3 linked regions of the Sus scrofa genome follow. The protein of the gene in region 3 interacts with the protein of the main gene of each other region in a pairwise test. Links are inferred from orthologs where the notes say so. Each region holds a gene or a part of one and is shown on either strand. Other genes may lie near its edges.

Region 1 (6,178 bases), on a different chromosome or scaffold from region 3:
AGGGGGCGGGGGAGATGGAGGTCCTGGGTAAATACAGCCCACAGCTGTTGGAGGGATTTGACGTGGGCTGGAATGGCTTTCTCTGGCATAGGCACACATGTCTTCCTAACACGATTTCCCTGAATCCCGTCCTCCTCCTTACAAATAGATGGATGACTGGGTCTGCCACTAACTGTGGTTTATCAAGCATAGTGTTCTCAACTGTGGACCTCTGAGTTCTTAGCGGTAATATAAGAGACTTGGACTAAGTGACCTCCAAGTTTCCTTCTACCCTGTTAACTCTGTGATATTCATTTATTGCCCTGGTAGCTAATCCAGAAGGGTATGAGTGAGGTCTGAAATGGGGTTGAGTTGCTGGCCTTATATTTATCCATCTCATCTTCTGAAAATTCTTCAGGGATGGAGGACATGGGCCTTTCTTTAATCGCAAAGCCAGAGGATTAGGTTCTACATGGCAGGAACAGAAGTGGATGTTTCTTACAATAAAAGCTGTATCAATTGAACTTGCTGTGCCAAGATGCCATACCATCCAGGTGTGTTCAGCAGTCCCTGACCCGGGCAGCTGAAGAAAGGTAAAGAGCAAAAGTCAGTCACCCACAAGACAGAGCTCTCCTGTCTTCACAAAGCTAGCCTTGTTCAGCCAGTCAAACCAGGGCCACTACAGAGCCCGTTGACCAGAACCACACAGCAGCCCCTTTTCAATATCACCCACCCCGAGTTACCACCTTCTAATCGCTCTCCAAGATGGGAGTATCTCCTCTTTCAGCCATGTCAAGCCCAGACTAGGAAAAGCCTGCTTGCCTGGGAGATAAGAATGCCAGATATGGAGTTCCCGTCGTGGCGCAGTGGTTAAAGAATCCGACTAGGAACCATGAGGTTGCAGGTTTAGTCCCTGCCCTTGCTCAGTGGGTTAACGATCCAGCGTTGCTGTGAGCTGTGGTGTAGGTTACAGACGCGGCTCGGATCCCGCGTTGATGTGGCTCTGGTGTAGGCCAGTGGCTACAGCTGCGATTCAACCCCTAGCCTGGGAACCTCCATATGCCGCGAGAGCGGCCCAAGAAATAGCAAAAAGACAAAAAAAAAAAAAAAAAAAAAAAAAAAAGAATGCCAGATATCAGAGTTCCTGTTGTGGCTCAGCAGTAATGAACCCAGCTAATGTCCCTGAGGATGCAGGTTCCATCCCTGGACCCACTCATTGAGTCAAAGGATCCGGTGTTGCTGTAAGCTGTGGTGTAGGTCACAGACAAGGCTCGGATCCCACGTTGCTGTGACTGTGGTGTGGTATAGGCTGGCAGCTGCAGCTCCAATTTGACTCTAGCCTGGGAATTTCCATATGCCGAAGGTGCAGCCCTAAAAAGACCCCCCTCCAAAAAAAAGAATGCCAACTATCTCATTGACCCATCAGTTCATATGCCAGGACATCATCAGAAAGAGAAGGAATCAGGGAGTCAGAATGATGAAGGAAATGTGAGGCTTGGCCATCCTGTCTCCAAGAGTTTGCAGCTCCCATGAGGAAGGAGACTTACTTACAGATGATAAAAACTCCCAATGTGACAACTCTTGCCTTCTGTGCAATGTTAATGAAACCATCTCTGTGATCATTGGACCCTCACTCCCTCAGAGACCCTCAGGTGGAAGTCCCAGCCTGACTTTTTAAAATAGCTCTTAGAATTCCTTTCACCCTGAGGACAAGACTTTAGAGAAATAGGGAAAAGATCTCTGGGGGCAGCTGGAGGGAACAAAGCAATACTGCGTGTCGTCACTGCCTTACCAGATAGCAGCCACTGCTCATGGGCAGGAAGGCCATCTAGGAGATCCCTAGTGGCTCAGTGGTTTAAAGACCCGGCATTATCACTTCTATGGCTCTGGTTGCTGCTGTGACATGGGTTCAATTCCTGGTCCGGGAATTAATTTATGCATGCCGTGAGCACGGCCAAAAAAAAAAAAAAAAAAAAAAGGCAATCTAGTTTGGCTGAGCTCTGGAAATCCAAATTATCCTTTCTTGACCAGTTTCCAAGCTTTCTTACTGTTGGAGCCTAGATCGATGCTTGAGGGTATAAAAACAAGACAGGGACCACAAGAAGACAATGGCTAAGAAGTCAAAGGCTAGTTCCTAAAACAGGTTCAAGGAGGGGAGAATCGGGGAGGTATTGAGACCTTGGGGGAAAGGGGATGGATAAGGCTGTTTGTAAGTCATCTAAAATCAGCCACGCAAGTGTCCAGCATGGACACTGTCCCCTCCTGAGTTTAGCCAATGCTGAACTGCACACCGTGGATGAAAAACCAAGCAACAGCAGTGTGGGGGGATGGGAGGAGTTAGGGTCCAGCCCTGCCCAGACCTCCTCGTGTCCAATTTCTCTGTGTCAGCTGTGTCGCTCAGCTGTCCACTTTCCTCCAGCCCTGTCATTTCAGCTCTGACACCAAGGCGAGAGGCTAGGAGGTCTACAAATACCGTCTGGGTAGCTGGTGTGAGTACAGAGGGTACTGGGGGGGCTTAGCCCCCAAGGAAGAGGACCAGTCCTCCCCCAGCACCACCATCAAGACCCCAGGGGCTCCCTCTTTTCTCCACAGACTGTGGACTGACTTAGGGAATCCCAAACGTAAGTTGCCTCTTCATCCTCTTTGCGTTTCCAGGACTTCTCACCCCAGCTTCCCCAATCCGTAGTCTATTCAGCTTCTTCATTTCTCTCATTGTCTGTGAGTAGTTTGGGTTTTAGGAGTGAAATTATTAAGCTACTCCAGGACAAGAGTTAGGATTGAAGGGTAGGGTGGGGGTGGGGTCAGGGGAGTAGAGTAGTAAGGGAAGGAAAGTCTCATATTACTCTGAAAACTTAAAATAGCTGAAGCCTGAGGCAGGCTGGGAACTAGGGAACTAGGCACCGGGCCCCTGAGCTCAAGAAAGGTAGGAGAGAACAAATGTCCCCAGCCCATCCCTCTATGCGCACTTGTGGACATGCACATTAAACCTCTTGAAAGGGGATCTGGGAAGGTGTGTGTCACATTTCTAAAGCCCACAGATTCCCTTGGAGTTGCCATCATGGCTCAGTGGTTAACGAATCCGACTAGGAACCATGAGGTTGCGGGTTTGATCCCTGGCCTTGCTCAGTGGGGTAAGGAGCCGGCATTGCTGCGGCTGTGGTGTAGGCCGGCAGCTGCAGCTCTAATTAGACCGCTAGCCTGGGAACCTCCCTATGCCACGAGTGCAGCCCTAGAAAAAGACAAAAATAAATAAATAAAAACCAAAGCCCACAGATTCCCAAGAGAAACAAAGTGCTTGTAGGAAAATGCCTAAACCACACAGCCTTGTGCACTGTCTCAGGGCAGTAAACTCTGGGGTTGCCCATCAGGATAGAAGGATGGTCATTGGTTTAAGGAGTTGGTAGGGAAGTTCTTTTGTCTGTTGGGCTTTTCTCTGGGCCTTTCTGGAATCTTTCTGCTCCTTGCCCCTGTCTGTGAAAGAATCTCTGTTTAACCAAATTTCTCCCAAAGCCTCCCCTTCAAGGACCACCCTACTGCAAGGGACAGGAACAAGGGGGGAAGAATGTCATTCAGAGATTAGATTTCATAGTGAGGTCAACCTCTTGCAGGATGACAGAAAAGGAGGTGCTGGAGTCCCATAAGCCCTCCTTCCCAGGAGAGACTCGGCAAAGTGGGGTGAGTCTGGGCCTTGACCATGGGGTATGGGGAGCTGGGAAGCCACTGCAGTCTTGAAGAAAATTGCTTGAATTGATCTCACTTGTATACGATTCATGTATTGTTCAAATGCTAGCTAGCACCTACAGGCCCCAGGACCCCCTAATCCTGGGGTGTGCCCCTTGCCCCAAGCTTGAAGAATGTCTAGTTAGCTTCAGCCTGACCTACTCTAAAAAGCAAGACAGTTCCTTTAACACTGGGTTTCCTTCCTTCCCTCCTTCCTTCCTTCCCTCCCTCAGCTACAGCGGCTGAAGCAGTTATTTAGGAAGGAGTCTACAGGGACAAAGGAGATGGAGCTTCCCCCAGAGCCCCAGGCCAATGGGGAGGCAGTGGGAGCTGGGGGTGGGCCCATCTACTACATCTATGAGGAAGAGGAAGAAGAGGAGGAAGAGGAAGAAGAACCACTCCCAGAACCTCCCAAGCTTGTCAATGATAAGCCCCACAAATTCAAAGATCACTTCTTCAAGAAGCCCAAGTTCTGTGACGTCTGCGCCCGGATGATTGTGCGTGAGTCACAGAGGGAAGTGGAGAGTGTGATGCCAAAGGCAGGGGGCAGGGGAAAGGATTTAGGAGAGGAGTATTTGTACATCAGATAGGCTGTGGCAAGATTTAGCTTTAAGAAACTACTGCAGAGATGGAGAGTGTCAGGTCCTATACTGAAAAGGGACCTGAGAACTAGAGTAGCAGCAGTGTTAGGAAGGGAAAGGGCAATCAGGAACCTCACGCAAATGTTCTCCCCATCTCCCAAGTCAACAACAAATTTGGGCTTCGCTGTAAGAACTGCAAAACTAACATCCACGAACACTGTCAGTCCTACGTGGAGATGCAGAGATGCTTCGGCAAGATCGTGAGTAGGCTCTGGGGAGCAAGAAAGTAGAAGGGAGGGGACATGTTGCCCGCTACCTCCTTGCCGGTCCCTCCTCAAGGCATCCCATCCATTTCCCTGCTTTTTCTTCCTCAGCCTATCTTTTACTCCAAGAAAGGGTGGACGTTCATGGGAGAGGTGGGGTTTGGGGCTCTACCTTGTTATCTCTAATGCTTTCTCCCATCCCATCCTACAGCCCCCTGGTTTCCGTCGGGCCTATAGCTCCCCACTCTACAGCAACCAGCAGTACGCTTGTGTCAAAGATCTCTGTAAGTGCCCCATACAGGACCTGAGGGAATGGGCAAGCCTAGAGGTGGTTTCCAGATGTGGAAACAAAATTCTGAAACAGAAAGATTCTATATCCTGTGGTTCTCGCTCAACCTAGTATCTTGGCCATCTTGGATGCAGAGTCAGTATTCCTCTGTTTTATAGCTGAGGGAAATAAGGTTTAGCTGGGGCTCTACTCAGGAAGAGACAGAACCAAAACTGAAACTTTCACCCGCCTAACCTCAAACTCTGCTCTTCATGTACAAAATCATTTCTAAGCACGAACTAGACTGTCCTCATCCCTGTTACAGAATAATGCCAGAGTCAGGGCCAGACCAAGAGCTGTGGGCATCCTGGGTAGGTTCATAATTTGGCAACCCTAAAAAACATACCCGTGGACTTCCATGTTGGTGCAGCAGGTTGAGGGTCCAGGGCTATCACTGCAGCAGCCCCAGTGGCTCCTGTGGCATGGGTTCGATCCCTGGTCCATAAATTTCCACATGCTGTAGGCATAGCCCAAAAAATAAATAAAAATAAAAATTTAAAAACCTTTCTCCTTATGGAGTTCCCCTTTGTGGCTCAACAGAAACGAATCTGACTATCACCCATGAGGACACAGGTTCAATCCCTGGCCTTGCTCGGTGTGTTAAGGATCCAGTGTTGCCATGAGCTGTAGTGTAGATGCAGCTGTGGTGGTGTTGTACTTATCTGGCGTTGCTGTGGCTGTGGCATAGGTCGGTAGCTACAGCTCCAATTTGACCCCTAGCCTGGGAACCTCCATATGCCATGAGTGTGGCCCTAAGAAAACAAAAATAAATACCTTACTCCTTTAAAAAGAATGTTCATTGACAATCTGCTGAACATTTGTTTGGAGGAGAGGCTGAACTCTGTGAGGAGCTTGGGTAGAAAAAAGGAACCCACTTGTGGTAGTCCCCCAGCTTACACTCAGTGGAACAAAAGCCAGCAGTTAAACCACTCTCCTTAAAAGAAAATTAGTGATTCTGAGCATTCCCCAACTCCTAAGCAACTTATTAGCAGAGTTGACTTTCCAACATCATGTAACACTCTGCCTGCAAGGAGGGCTGGTAAATATTTTTCCAGTGATGTTTTCAGAGCTCTTTATAGATTGATGACCTAGGTATATCCAGCTGACACTTTCCTAATCCTAAATACACACACACGGGTATCTATCTATTCAGTCCCATCTCTCCCTTAGTCTCTCTCCTCCAAACATTTTCTGCCTCCCCAGTAATGTCTTCTTTCTTCTCCCATATTCCAACTATAGCTGCTGCCAATCGCAATGACCCTGTGTTTGAAACCCTGCGCACTGGGGTGATCATGGCAAACAAGGAA
Region 2 (6,146 bases), on a different chromosome or scaffold from region 3:
TGCTGGCCCATCATGTTTCTAGTCCACCCATTCCCAACGTGGGGTACCCATTTTTCTAAAGACCTGTAGGAGCCAGGGCTCTATCAGACTATGAAAAGTTCTCCAGTCTGAGTCTGATTCTTAAGATATGATTCCCTGTCAGTCCTCCACCCTACACCCACTGGAAAGTTCAGATGCAGTTGAGCCAGAACAGGCATTCTGTCTGAAACACTTTTCCAGGCATATTTTCAACCTACTCCTTAATGTAGCCTGCCAAGATTAATCAGTCCCCCAAGTGGTCTCCCCTGGTCCACTTCTTTCTTTTTCTCCCACCCAACCACTCATCCAACACCAGCAAAAGATGACTTTCCATACAGCCTTGATGTGCCCTGACAGAGGGCACAGCCTTCTTCCTTTCATTTTCGAGCTCCACTAAATAGAAAGCTTTGTGAAAAGAATTGGGTTTTCTTTGTCTTGGAACGCTTCTGTTTTCCCCAGCCTCCTCCCAGTTTTATCCCACATCCTCTTCTTCCTCTTTCTGCCTTTCTTTCATTTCCTCCTTTATCCTGCCCCCATCATAACATTTCCTCCACCACCTAAGGGTCGGTTCTTACGCCTGAGTTCAAAGCAACTGGATTCTTTTTGAAAAACCAGATAAAACTCTTCCAAGACCATCTTCACAATCTTGGAAGGCTCCTCCCTGACTCTCAAGCTCAGAGTCCTGGTTTTGGATGCTGGAGACGAGATAATTCAGCAGCAGCAACAGCAGCAGCCAGAAAGGCATGGAGGAGGGTGCTGTTTAGGGTGTATTTGAGGGAACAGCATATGGGCTTTTGTCAAAACAGTCAGAGCTCGCTAGTTTCTGAGCTGAGTATAGAAATGTGCCACTGTCTCTGAACAAGGCTTGAGCTAGTTTAGTTCTCATCTTCTCTTCTGGTACAACCCTCATCACCTCAAATCCACCATGCCTTCACCCTCTGCCCTCTGAGCTCTGTGATACCAAGAAAAGTTTTTTAGTCAAGTCGTCTCCCACCTGCACTGTCCACCCAGAGACAGCAAAACCTCTTACACAGCAGCTGCCAGGTCAGCTGATTGAGCGTTGCTCCCCCTAAAGACTCTCTGTCCCTTCTCACCAGCTTCTACCTCACATAAGCAATTAGTTCCCATGCTCCAGTGGGAGATACAGAGTAGTGATGGGAAAAGACCGGCGCCCTGGCCCAGCTGCCTGCATCCACCCCTCTGGACTCCGGGGCACAGGCCAGAAATGGGGACCATCCAGTCTCCCCTCATAAGCAGGAGGTCATTTACCTTGGCAGCGGCTTGCGGGCGGTGATACTGGCAACAATGATGCTCTCAGGACGCGGGGTGGCCACGGCTTTAAAGGTTCCTCGCCAGAACTTCTCAAAAAGCTGTTTCTCTCCTTGCTGAACGCTCGCCATAGCCAACCCCAAGGGCCCGGGGCTCCGGGGCGCTGTCCGAAGTGCTGAATCGTGGATTCCAAACGGGGGCACACCGGGCTCCGGTCTCTGTCCGCGTGAAACCGAAAGGGGTGGGGTGAGAGAGATCGGGGTTCAGGGCGGGGGAGGGGGCGCCTCAGCTCGGGCAGGCGGGGGAGAAAGAAGGCTTGTCCGTCGGTTCTCTTCGCCTTCTGGGTTGGCTCTGGGCTGCACTCTGAGCTTACTGAGCCTCCGCACCCCAGGAAGGGAAGGGAGGGCTGGCTTTCTCGGCAGCGCTGGAGAGAAGAGGCGACGGGGTCGTCTGTGTGTGCGTGCGCGTGTGAGCTCCGGCGCGCCCGGGTTTTGTCTCTCTCACAATGTGACGTTGGAAGAGGAGGCTGGTCGCGCGAGCTGCACTTTCCTCTCCGCCTCTCCGCCTCTCCTCCTCCTCACCAACTCCCTCCTCCTCCGACTCTGCCTCCTGCCGCCATCTGCATAACAAAAGCCCGCAGGTCTTGGGAGGAGAAAGGGCGGGGCGTGCGCCTGTCACCCGGGCCCCGCGGCTACAGAGTTGCAGCGTTGACCCCCGAGAAAAGCAATCCGGAACCCTGAACTGAACCAGCCGTGAGATCCTGCTTCCCAGCCCCCTCTCCTCCCCTACCACCGCGAGCCTTCCCCCTACCCTTTCTTGTGCGCCCTCTGGGCCCGGCCTTCTCCCTTCCCACCCCGTTCGTAAATCTCCTAGATCTTCTATAGACGGAGAGAGAAAAAAACTTAATCTGTCCGCCCAAGCCAACCTGCCCCCCCGCCACACACTTCTGGGAGGGACTGTCTATACAGCAGTAAAATGGGGGGGGGGGCTTGTTTCCTGAATTTCTCTTTGCGCCAGAGTGCTGAGAGATCCCCACCACCCAAAAGTGCCATTTGATGGACAATCCGTCAGCAATTCGGCCTCTCGCCATCTGCCGAGCCGGCCCCGCCCGCAGAGGGGTGCAGCCTTGCATCTGTGCACGCGGCTCTAAGGGACATCTCTTTTGTGCCTCACAGCCAGCCCGCCCAACGTCCCGCTGTCAACCCATCCAAAGGAAAGTGTGCCCCCGCCCCCACCCCATGCCGTCCACTCCTAGGGAACTCAGCTGCAGCCACTTTTTCTTAATACAGCTTCTCTTGGGAGAGGAGTCAGTTGTGAAAGAGAAAGCTCTTAGGGGTAGGGGTTTGAGGGGGGAAATATGAGGATTATAGGGGGATGGTTACTTTTCAGTTTCTCTCCTCTTCTACCCTCTAGCAGTCCGACCCTAATCCCAGAGGGTGGAAGTTCAGAATCATAATAAAACCTAGATGCAGAGACTTTCTTTCCTTCAGCCCCAGGGTTTTCATTAAGAAAAAGAAATGCTGGACCCCTCTGCCCATCTTTCCCTTGGAGTCCTTTACTCTCAGCAGAGTTGCTACCCCCACTCCCTAGACTGCACATTCTTGGAAGGAGGCTTTGCCAAGTCTTAAAGGCCTATGAGGGCTCTGGTTTTCAGCCCCAGCGGAAATAAACTCTTGTTTCTTGCTGATGATGAGGACGATGGGGATCCAGGGGACTAGGGCACCAATGTGAACTTCAGACATTCTTTGAAAGGGAACAGGAGGGGAATAGGAGAAACAGGGGAGGAGGCAGGCAGAGCGAACTCTGGAGTATCCAGGTATTAGCCCAGAAATGTATCTTCCTGTGGATATGCGTGCATTTGGATATTTGCGTGCCTGCTTGTTTGAGTGCCTGAGTGCGCTGCTCGCTCTGCAGTGACCCCTTCTGGTAAAAAACAAGAGATGCATTTGCTGGCTTCTTCAAGTGGGTTGTCCCAGTCGGGAGTTGGAGGTAGGGCTGGGGAGTTTGGAGATGGAGGAGAAAGTGGAGACTAGGCTCAAAAGCACCACCATCTCTCCCTCCGGCCCCAAACTCTCCCGTCTCCGATCACTCTTAGGTGCTATTTCCTATATCGAAATTAGTGTCACTTTAAATGCCTTTGAGAACTGGCTCTTTAAGTAGCCTGGGATATTTAAAACCATCCTTAGTCATGACATTTGGGGTCTAAACTGAGTCACTTGCAGGGAAGAGGTAGCTAGGATCCTACCCCCACAAGATCTATCAACCTTTCCCAGCCTGTTCCAGCTCTAAGTTCTTCGACTGTTGATAACGTTCCCATTTGCACAGATTTGCCTCTTTTGAACCTGAATAGCAGCCAGGGAAGGTGGGAGGGGAAGCTGTTCTTAACTGCACTTTAAAGGTGAGGAAGTTGAGGTGTAGGATGGTCAAGTGATTTGCCTAAGGTGATTCTACAGGGAGCAAAGGAGTCTGTACAAAGCAGTTTCTGTTTTCACTTGGGGAATGAGGGGTCTCAAGATACCAGGCACCCCAGGGTGGGCAGTGTAAAAACTGCCAGATACCAAAGGAACCACGTACTGAGAAGCACACAGGGTTGAGACTTCTTTTTCTTTTCTTGTTGTCTTATTAGGGCCGCACCTGTGGCATATGGAGGTTCCCAGGCAAGGGGTCGAATTGGAGCTGTAGCTGCCAGCCTACGGAGCCACAGCAATGCCAGATCTGTGTCTGCGACCTACACCACAGCTCAGGGCAATGCCAGATCCTTAACCCACTGAGCGAGGCCAGGGATCAAACCAGAAACCTCATGGTTCCTAGTCGGATTCGTTTCCGCTGTGCCATGACAGGAACTCCTGTTGAGACTTCTAAGTTGGGAGTCTTGGGTGATAAATTCAGGGCCTCAAAGCCAGACTGCCTGGGTTCAAATCCCAGCTCTGCCATTTCCTAAATGTGTGATCTTGGAAGATTGACTTCACTTGTCTATACCTCAGTTTCTTCAGCAGTTATACAAAGATTCTATAAAAATCAAATACCCTGGGTGTAAATAGACTTCAGGTCCGACTTCTCTGATGGGACTCAAACTCCAGTTCCTCCATCATATTATGAATACATAACCATCTTGTTCTCATTCCCTCAGGATACTGCTCTGTTTTCCAAGGTGCAGGCAGCCCACTGCTTAAACTGAGACATTTCAGTATGCTAGTAAATTAATAGGAACATGTGACACAATCGCTGCCTATTCTCTACACTATGCCAGTGACAACACCTTTCTGGATAAGACCTCGGAATCCTTCTCAACACATTCTCTAGATAGCCAGCACCGACTGGCTGGATTTGGCATTCTAATAAAAATCAGTTTGACACATCTATATGGGCAAAGAATCTGAAAAAGAATGGAGGTGTGTATATGTATAACTGAACCACTTAGTTGTACAGCAGAAATTATCCGGAGTTCCCATCGTGGCGCAGTGGTTAACGAATCCGACTAGGAACCATGAGGTTGCGGGTTTGGTCCCTGCCCTTGCTCAGTGGGTTAACGATCCAGCGTTGCCGTGAGCTGTGGTGTAGGTTGCAGACTCAGCTCGGATCCCGCGTTGCTGTGGCTCTGGTGTAGGCCGGTGGCTACAGCTCCGATTCAACCCCTAGCCTGGGAATCTCCATATGCCGCGGGAGCGGCCCAAGACCAAGAAATAGCAAAAAGACCAAAAAAAAAAAAATTATACCAATATTGTATATCAACCATACTTCAACGAAGCTTTAAAAGATGGGGGAAAAAAAGATGAAGAAAAAAATGAAAAAAAAAATCAATTTTCCAGCCATGTCTAAAGGGCTCTTCTTTACCTAATTGGCACTGTTCTTGTATTAGAAAAAGGGGAGACCAGGAAGAAGTGATTCTAGGATTTGCAAACCCAGGTAATCTAAAGCAGGAGCAAAAGAGATTCTTATACCTCCTTCTCCCTAATGATCCAAAAAACACCAGCTCAGAGAAATAGCTACCTCTCCTCCAGAGGCAGTTCAAATCCCACCTCATTGACATTACTATCTTACTGGGGTAAACCCCTTACTCTCTCTGTCCATAACTACTTTGACTGATATGGCCGATCATTATCCACCATCAAGGGACATCAGGGTTCTTAAGTCTGTACCCATTTTCAAGTGTCCAGTGAACAGTGAATGATTCAAATAATTACTGAGATAATGGGAAATATGGTAATGAGACCAATTCATCTGTCTTTGTGCCCTTACACAGGATCACGCTAAACTATTCAATTTACAAGATTCTGTATTTTTCCTATAGACTTTTGGGGAGAAAAAAAATGATTGTACTACTCAGGGCTTACTAATCCTCACTTCTTCAAAGTTCTACCTCATGTCTAACCTGAATCCCACCATCATCATTTATTGCCCATTTTTCTTCTAGAATACGCACTGCTTCAAATGTCCCTGGACTAACATGGATAAGCCAAAAGTATTCTCCTTCCTTGGTTGTAATAGGTCCCAAGAGTCTATAAGACAAACACATTCATTACTATCTCAGAGTAATAATTGCACATATCGAGTAAGTATTACTATGTCCTATGCTCTAGTCACCATTTATGCTAGACCCTTGATAAACATTATCACATTTAATCCTTGTCAACAACTCCATAAGAAAGGAACTATCACCGTCTGAATCTTGCAGATTTGGAAAACTGAGTTTCAGAACGGTAAGAGGATTCAGTATGTGCAGAGACCACATATTGGAAGCATTGGATACACACAAGGAAGAACCCAAAAACCAGAGAACATAGTAATGGAAGAATGGAAGAGAAACTGAAGAGTTGGTGATGAAGGAATATGCTTCATGCAATGAACTTAGAGGACTG
Region 3 (6,137 bases):
GAGCGGGAGCCCTGCAGTCCCCTTGCTTGCCTGCTCCGGGCTCTCTGGGGTCTCACCAGCAGGAGCATGGGTGGTCATCCTAGAGCCCCAGCCCCTTGGAGCCCCTGTCTACATGTGCTTTCACGCCCTTAGCCTGCAGGGGTCAGATTTGCCATCGAAAATGATAACCTCTACTTTTTTCTTTTGTATTTTGATAAACACTGAAGAAGCTGGAGCTGTTAAACTTTATCTTGGGGAAAACCTCAGAACTGGTTTATTTGGTGTCGTGGAACCTCTTACTGCTTTCAATACACGATTAGTAATCAACTGTTTTGTATACTTGTTTTCAGTTTTCATTTCGACAAACAAGCACTGTAATTACAGCTATTAGAATAAAATCTCTTAACTATTTCGTGGCTCTCCCATGTTTGGGTGCTCCTGATTGACAGCCTGACTCCTAAGAGGTGGGCAGGGACAGCAGCTTGGTCTTCACCTAGGGAGGCCAGCATTGCCCTGACCTGTTCCATTCCCTTTCTGTCCACTCCTTCCCATCTTCATTTCCCTGTGGCCAGGTGTGGGTATGTCCCAGTGCCCTTGTGGTGACTTCCTCATTGCCTCATTGTTGGCAGTCCAGCCCTTGGTCCCAGTCTTTGCAATGCCAGCTTCTAAGGGACAGCAGGGTCACCACATGGGGTATGCCCAAGAGGCTAGGGCCAGGGGTGGTTTATGGAGGAGGCCCTTCACCCTTCCTAAGTGCCCCCGGCCACATTCCCATGTTGCTACTACAATGATTGTGCCTGGCTAGGTGCTTTGTGCCATAGACCCCCTCCCTCTTGACCTGGAGCCCTTCTTGGCACACTGGGTGGGGCAATTGGCAGGCCAAAGCCCAGGTGTCCTTCCCCCAGGAGGCAGGCCACCTAGATAATAGTCTGACAGGTTGAAAACCAGTTGTCCGTTCTGAAGACAGAATTCCCTCATTTCTTTTAAAATCAGAAATAAGAATCTCATAATAATGACTCCAGCCTGGGTTTTGTCTTTATTCTATTGTGTCTATAAAATGTTTTCATTTTTTTCTGTGGACAGCCTGGTTGTATGCACCTCCCAGCCAGGGGGAGGGAGCCCAGTGCCTTTGCAGCAGACACATGGAGGTAGGTAGGACAGTCAGTGGTTAGGAAGTCCCTTAGTGACCTGGGGAGACAAGCATGGCCTCAGGTACAAGTCCAAGTCCACCTCTTCATGATCTAAGTGCCCAGCTCAGGTTGCCCCTCCTAGCATGCTCACCCCTCTGCAGCTGAGCCCCTTTGACCCGTGTGGCCTCCTTCTGGCCACACATGACCCAGGGCTCTTGGTCAATATGAGACTCCGAGATGCTGACCACCAAAAGGACAGTGCCCTTCCCAGTGGGATCACAGGTAGCCTTGCTAGAACCCAAGAGATCACATCTTCACACATCACTTTTTTTTTTTTTTTTTTGTCTTTTTTTTTTTTTGCTATCTCTTTGGGCCGCTCCTGCAGCATATGGAGGTTCCCAGGCTAGGGGTCGAATCCGGAGTTGTAGCCACTGGCCTAAGCCAGAGCCACAGCAACGCGGGATCCAAACCGCATCTGCAACCTACACCACAGCTCACGGCAACGCCAGATCGTTAACCCACTGAGCAAGGGCAGGGACCGAACCCGCAACCTCATGGTTCCTAGTTGGATTTGTTAACCACTGCGCCACGACGGGAACTCCCACACATCACTTTCTATTATGACATATGATAGCAACCTTCCCTTTAGTATGAAACACTTTCCACTTAAAATAAGTTTATTTACGTACAAAGAGTGAGTCAATACAAAGAAAAATAAAAGCAGCCGTAGTAGGCCACAGTTAAGCCTCTTTCGAGGCCTGGGGTGATCCCCATAGGCTAGCCCTTCAGATCTCTGGATCTCAGTTGCTGTCCTGCCGGCGCTTCCTCTTGCAACAAGGCGAGGAGTTGGGATCATGCCTAGGGAGACCGGGGGACACCTGGCTTGAGGGCCCCTGCCTGCCCAGTACTCCCCGCCTCTTTACCCCCAGGCAGCTGCACCTACTGGATGGAAGAAGGGGACAGTGAGGAATGTGACCCCCTCCCATGCTCCTTTTCTTTCTTTCTCTTCTCTTTCTTGTGTTTTTTCTTCTTTTTCTTCTCTTTCTTGCTCTTCCTGTGGCTCTCAGGGCTGCAAGGGGACACAAAGTGCCAGTGCCTCTGGGGCTTTGGAATCTAGCCAGGGATGGGGCTGCTGCAGTAGCCACTAACCATGTGTAGCCATTTCAACCTGAAGTCACTAAGGGCAACTCCTCAGTACCACCTGTAGCCAGCAACTACCACGGTCGGGGGCACAGACCCTTACTTGCATTCCAATCGTGGCAGAAAATCTGACGATCTCATGGCCCCTTTCCAACCCTCCCACTGCGATTTTCCCCACTCCCACTCCACCCTGCACTCTTGGGGCCAAATTGTGATCCCCTCCTGTGCCACTCACACCCCTCGCTGGGCAGCTAAAGCAACGGGAAGGGGAAGTGGTTCACCACCCCACCCGCCCCAGACCCCGGAAAGTGACTCATGTCTGAACATTCTCTTGGGCCCCTGATCCCACTGAGGAGTCAGGGGGCAAGTGGAACCGCCCCAGGGCTCACAACCTCCAGCGGCTCCCCCCCAAAAAAAGGCTGGAGCTAGGAATTTTACTGTCTGGTGGAGCAAACAACATGCAGAGCGAACCGAGTTCTGTGTCCTAGTAGCACGGGTAGGGTCCACTTATCCAGCCCTTACCCTGGCTCCACCTTCTCCTCTGACCGAGGCTTCCTCTTGGCCGAAGCCAGGGAGACCCCTGGCCGACTGCTCTCCACGCGGTGGTGCTGCCAAGAAAAGCCACTCTGGGGGTGTGCGGGCCTGAGAACCATCCAGAAAGCCAGTAGGGTCCCTTCGAGGGGAGACGATTTGCCCCACGGCTTTCAACAGGAAGGGACACTCATCCCCACCCCCACCCCAACATGGGATAACCAGGATGTCGGGAGGAATTACCGTGAACACCGAAAGCCCCAGTTTAGCGGCCTCTTTGTCTTCCCGTGACAGCGCCACTCGCCCTGCAGAGCCACTGCGGGGACGCGGGTGGGGACCCCCCCCCACAGTGAGACACCCTCTCCCGACAGCGAGGACCACCCCATCCCCACCCGTAGGCCTCCCTAGAGAAGTGATGAGTTCAGACGACCCATAACGGCTTCCACCTGGGCGGCTGACAGCGCCGAACCCCGGGGAATTGCACCCTCGCGATTTCTGGGGTCCCCGAGGACCACCTCCCCAGCCCCGCACCTGGAGCTGCCCAGGCCCAGGAGCCGGTCCACTCCCTTCTCGGGGTCACTTCCTTCCCGCTTACAGACTTCGACAAAGTCCTGTGGGTGGGGGGGAGTGCAAGCGCTCACCACAGCGTGGGGTCTGCCCCCCCGCCCCATCCCGCCCCCGTCCTCCAAGAGGGCCCACCTCTCACCTCCTTGCTCAGGCCCGTGGGCTGCTTCCTTACGTTCTTGTAGCCTCTGCGGGGGCCGCGCGTGAGCTTCAGAGAGTGGCGGGCCTCTCCTCGGCCCGCGCCCCCGCCCCCGCCCAGCCCCGGTCTCCGCCCTACCCCCAACCAGGAGGTAATTCCCCCCCGCCCCCAAGCTCCCGAGGCTCACTCACAACGCTGCCATAAGCGCTTCCTGCTCCGCCTGCCTCACGGCCTCCAGCTCCTGTTCCCGGCTCAACCCCGCGCCGTGCGCCCGGCCCTTGGCGTACCAGGTGAGGTCACGGCCCTTCTGCCAGCGGCCCACCGGGGCCATCAGCGAGTTGCCTGCGGGATACCGAGCGCCGAGTCCTCGGTACGGCGCTGCAGGTTGGCGTACCTCCAGCCCGAGAGACACCCCCGCCGCCACCCTGGGTCCCGGCACCCCGCTCACCCAGGTAGTTCTCCCTCTGTTTGTCAGTCTTCACATCCTCCCAGCTAAACTGATCCTGCCCACCGCGCACTCCACCCCGGCTGGAGCCGAACATGGTGCCGGCTTCCCGCTACCCAGGCCCCACCGGCCCCCGTTTCCACCCCGCGTCGCACGCAGTGACGTCATGCGCGCTTGCACCGCCCCCGCCTGCCTCTAACGCCTGCGCACTGCTGTGGCCCTGGCCAAAGTCGGAGGCTGCGGCAGATACCGCCGCATTATTGGAAGCCACTGTCGTGGGTCACAGGTAATGAAAGGGACTAGTATCCATGAGGCCATGGGTTTGATCCTTGGACCGGATCTGTGGGTTAAGGATCCGGTGTGGCCATGAGCTGCTCGCAGAACCGGCTCGGATCTGGTGTGGGTGAGGCTGTGGCTGTGGCATAGACCCGGCAGCTGCAGCTCCTGCTAGACGCCTAGCCTGGGAACTTCCGTATGCTGTGGGTCCGGCCCTAAAAAATAAATTCGAGTCACGTTGTGTGGGTGACACCCCCGAGTCATCGTTGCTAGTGTGTGCTGTTTCTGGCCCTGTGCTGGGGAGAGGGGTAGGCACTGGGGGAGACTATGTCTGAAACTGTTTCCCTACTATAGCTTCCCTACCTTATAAACCGGGAGCCACCAAGGTCAGGTTGCACCTGCACTGGCCTGTTCTCCACCCTTGGGGATACCAGCTGTGTGGCTCCCAAAAAAGTATGGAAGCACACCTCATTGCACTCATACCTCAAAGAGCACAGAAAATGCCTCAGTCACCCTCAAGGTGTTCACTGGCAGACGATCCTCATTCAACAGTTTTGGTCTTTGCTGCTCAGTATCTATAGTAAGCTAGTTGTTGGGCAAGGGTGTTCGGTTTGTCATCACTGCAGACCAGAATAGATTCAGTCATAAGAGGTCCTAATGAGCAGAGAGGAGTGCCACTCCATTGGCCAACTCCTACTGAACTGAAACCATAAGATGAATGTACTGAGGAATTTACACGGTGCCACACATGTTATCTGTATCCCTTCAGTACTGGTCCTCTCACAAGACATGGCCCTCCTGCAGGTTGCTCAGTGAGTTCATCTGATAATGGGGGGGGGGGGTGAGGTCTTTCACCTTGCTCTCCCTCACCTGCCTCACTGCTTAAGGGCGTTCTTGAGCAAAGATGAGGAGGTCAGCAGGGCCTGGAAGTGCATAGCCACACATTGCTGGGATGGATTGGGGTGGGAGGATGTCCCTGTGCAGCCGCACAGAATGGTGAGTGGACCAGAAGGGGTCAGGAGTGGGGGAGGTTCATCTCCCACAGGCTGTTGGCTCCTACCTACTGGGTCAGGCCCAGAACACCTTCCCCACCATATACTATGACTGAACTTCAGGTATATAAGAAAGAGCCTGACAGCCAAATTCCAGTCCCCACCATCTACCATGACTGGAACTCAGGTTTATGGGAAAGAGCCTGACAGCCAAATTCCTATAATCAAACCCCAGGAGCTCCAGGCCTGGGCCAGGTCAGCTGCCTTAAAAAGGCTGGAAATTGCCCCTTCAGGTTTTACAGAAAGGCAGCAGTCAATTGGAAGGCCTAACAGATTGCAGCTGCAACGCACCCCACCATCATCCCACTACCCCGGAGTTAACAAAGGAGGATGGCCCCAACCCTTGGCCCCTTTGATGCAGAGCATGACGGTAGGGCTGTGGGAACCCTGGCGAGGGGCAAAGTAGGCCAGCTATAGGCATGGGGCCGATGTCCTTGGATCCCAGACACCCTGCTCCTCTCACCCATTCTTGGAGGTCACTGTGTTCCCCCAAGAGTCCTGCTGCCCTGAGGCTGAAGGCAGTGCTAGGACCAAGGGGGCTCTAGGACCCAGAGGGGCAGACTCAGCAGTAGCTAGGCTTACCTGCAGGAAAAGGACCACCCATGACTTTGGTAATGTTGAAGGCTCACATGCCTTTGGGCCTCATCCTAAAACCATAACGTGACCTGACTTTAAGCCCTGTAGTCAGTTCAGTTGCAGAGGGACCCTCTAGGCTGAGGCACATGAAAAGGGAAGACAAGAAGGAGACAGCTTCATGAACACATGATTTAAGAAGATTCCTCTTTCCCCTTCACAGCATCTCAGGCCAGCACCTCTTCCAGGCACCATCACTTTTTGGTCCAAAACCGCTTGTACTGTTCCACATCAAAGTCATCACTCAG

Evidence for each region.
Region 1: the proteins of C2H1orf35 (region 3) and STAC3 interact in binary tests that used the Homo sapiens proteins (3 or more experiments, as listed by UniProt). The two-hybrid records come from large-scale screens. The link is inferred for Sus scrofa from reciprocal best matches to the Homo sapiens genes C1orf35 and STAC3.
Region 2: the proteins of C2H1orf35 (region 3) and SRRM4 interact in binary tests that used the Homo sapiens proteins (3 or more experiments, as listed by UniProt). The link is inferred for Sus scrofa from reciprocal best matches to the Homo sapiens genes C1orf35 and SRRM4.

What each region holds. Positions count from the first base shown.
Region 1 is NC_010447.5:22,552,421-22,558,598, reverse strand, and holds the start of STAC3 (SH3 and cysteine-rich domain-containing protein 3), read left to right. Parts: upstream 1-2,268; 5' UTR 2,269-2,600; intron 2,601-3,489; 5' UTR 3,490-3,588; coding exon 3,589-3,654; intron 3,655-3,932; coding exon 3,933-4,200; intron 4,201-4,442; coding exon 4,443-4,540; intron 4,541-4,754; coding exon 4,755-4,827; intron 4,828-6,110; coding exon 6,111-6,178. UniProt on the Homo sapiens protein: Required for normal excitation-contraction coupling in skeletal muscle and for normal muscle contraction in response to membrane depolarization. Required for normal Ca(2+) release from the sarcplasmic reticulum, which ultimately leads to muscle contraction.
Region 2 is NC_010456.5:33,814,950-33,821,095, forward strand, and holds the start of SRRM4 (serine/arginine repetitive matrix protein 4), read right to left. Parts: upstream 3,911-6,146; 5' UTR 1,419-3,910; coding exon 1,288-1,418; intron 1-1,287. UniProt on the Homo sapiens protein: Splicing factor specifically required for neural cell differentiation.
Region 3 is NC_010444.4:51,237,250-51,243,386, forward strand, and holds C2H1orf35 (multiple myeloma tumor-associated protein 2), read right to left. Parts: upstream 4,077-6,137; 5' UTR 4,026-4,076; coding exon 3,932-4,025; intron 3,826-3,931; coding exon 3,675-3,825; intron 3,533-3,674; coding exon 3,487-3,532; intron 3,392-3,486; coding exon 3,312-3,391; intron 3,097-3,311; coding exon 3,024-3,096; intron 2,923-3,023; coding exon of another isoform or gene 2,858-2,922; coding exon 2,772-2,857; intron 2,179-2,771; coding exon 2,053-2,178; intron 1,968-2,052; coding exon 1,910-1,967; downstream 1-1,909. Other genes in the region: MRPL55 (mitochondrial ribosomal protein L55), read right to left, coding at 6,084-6,137.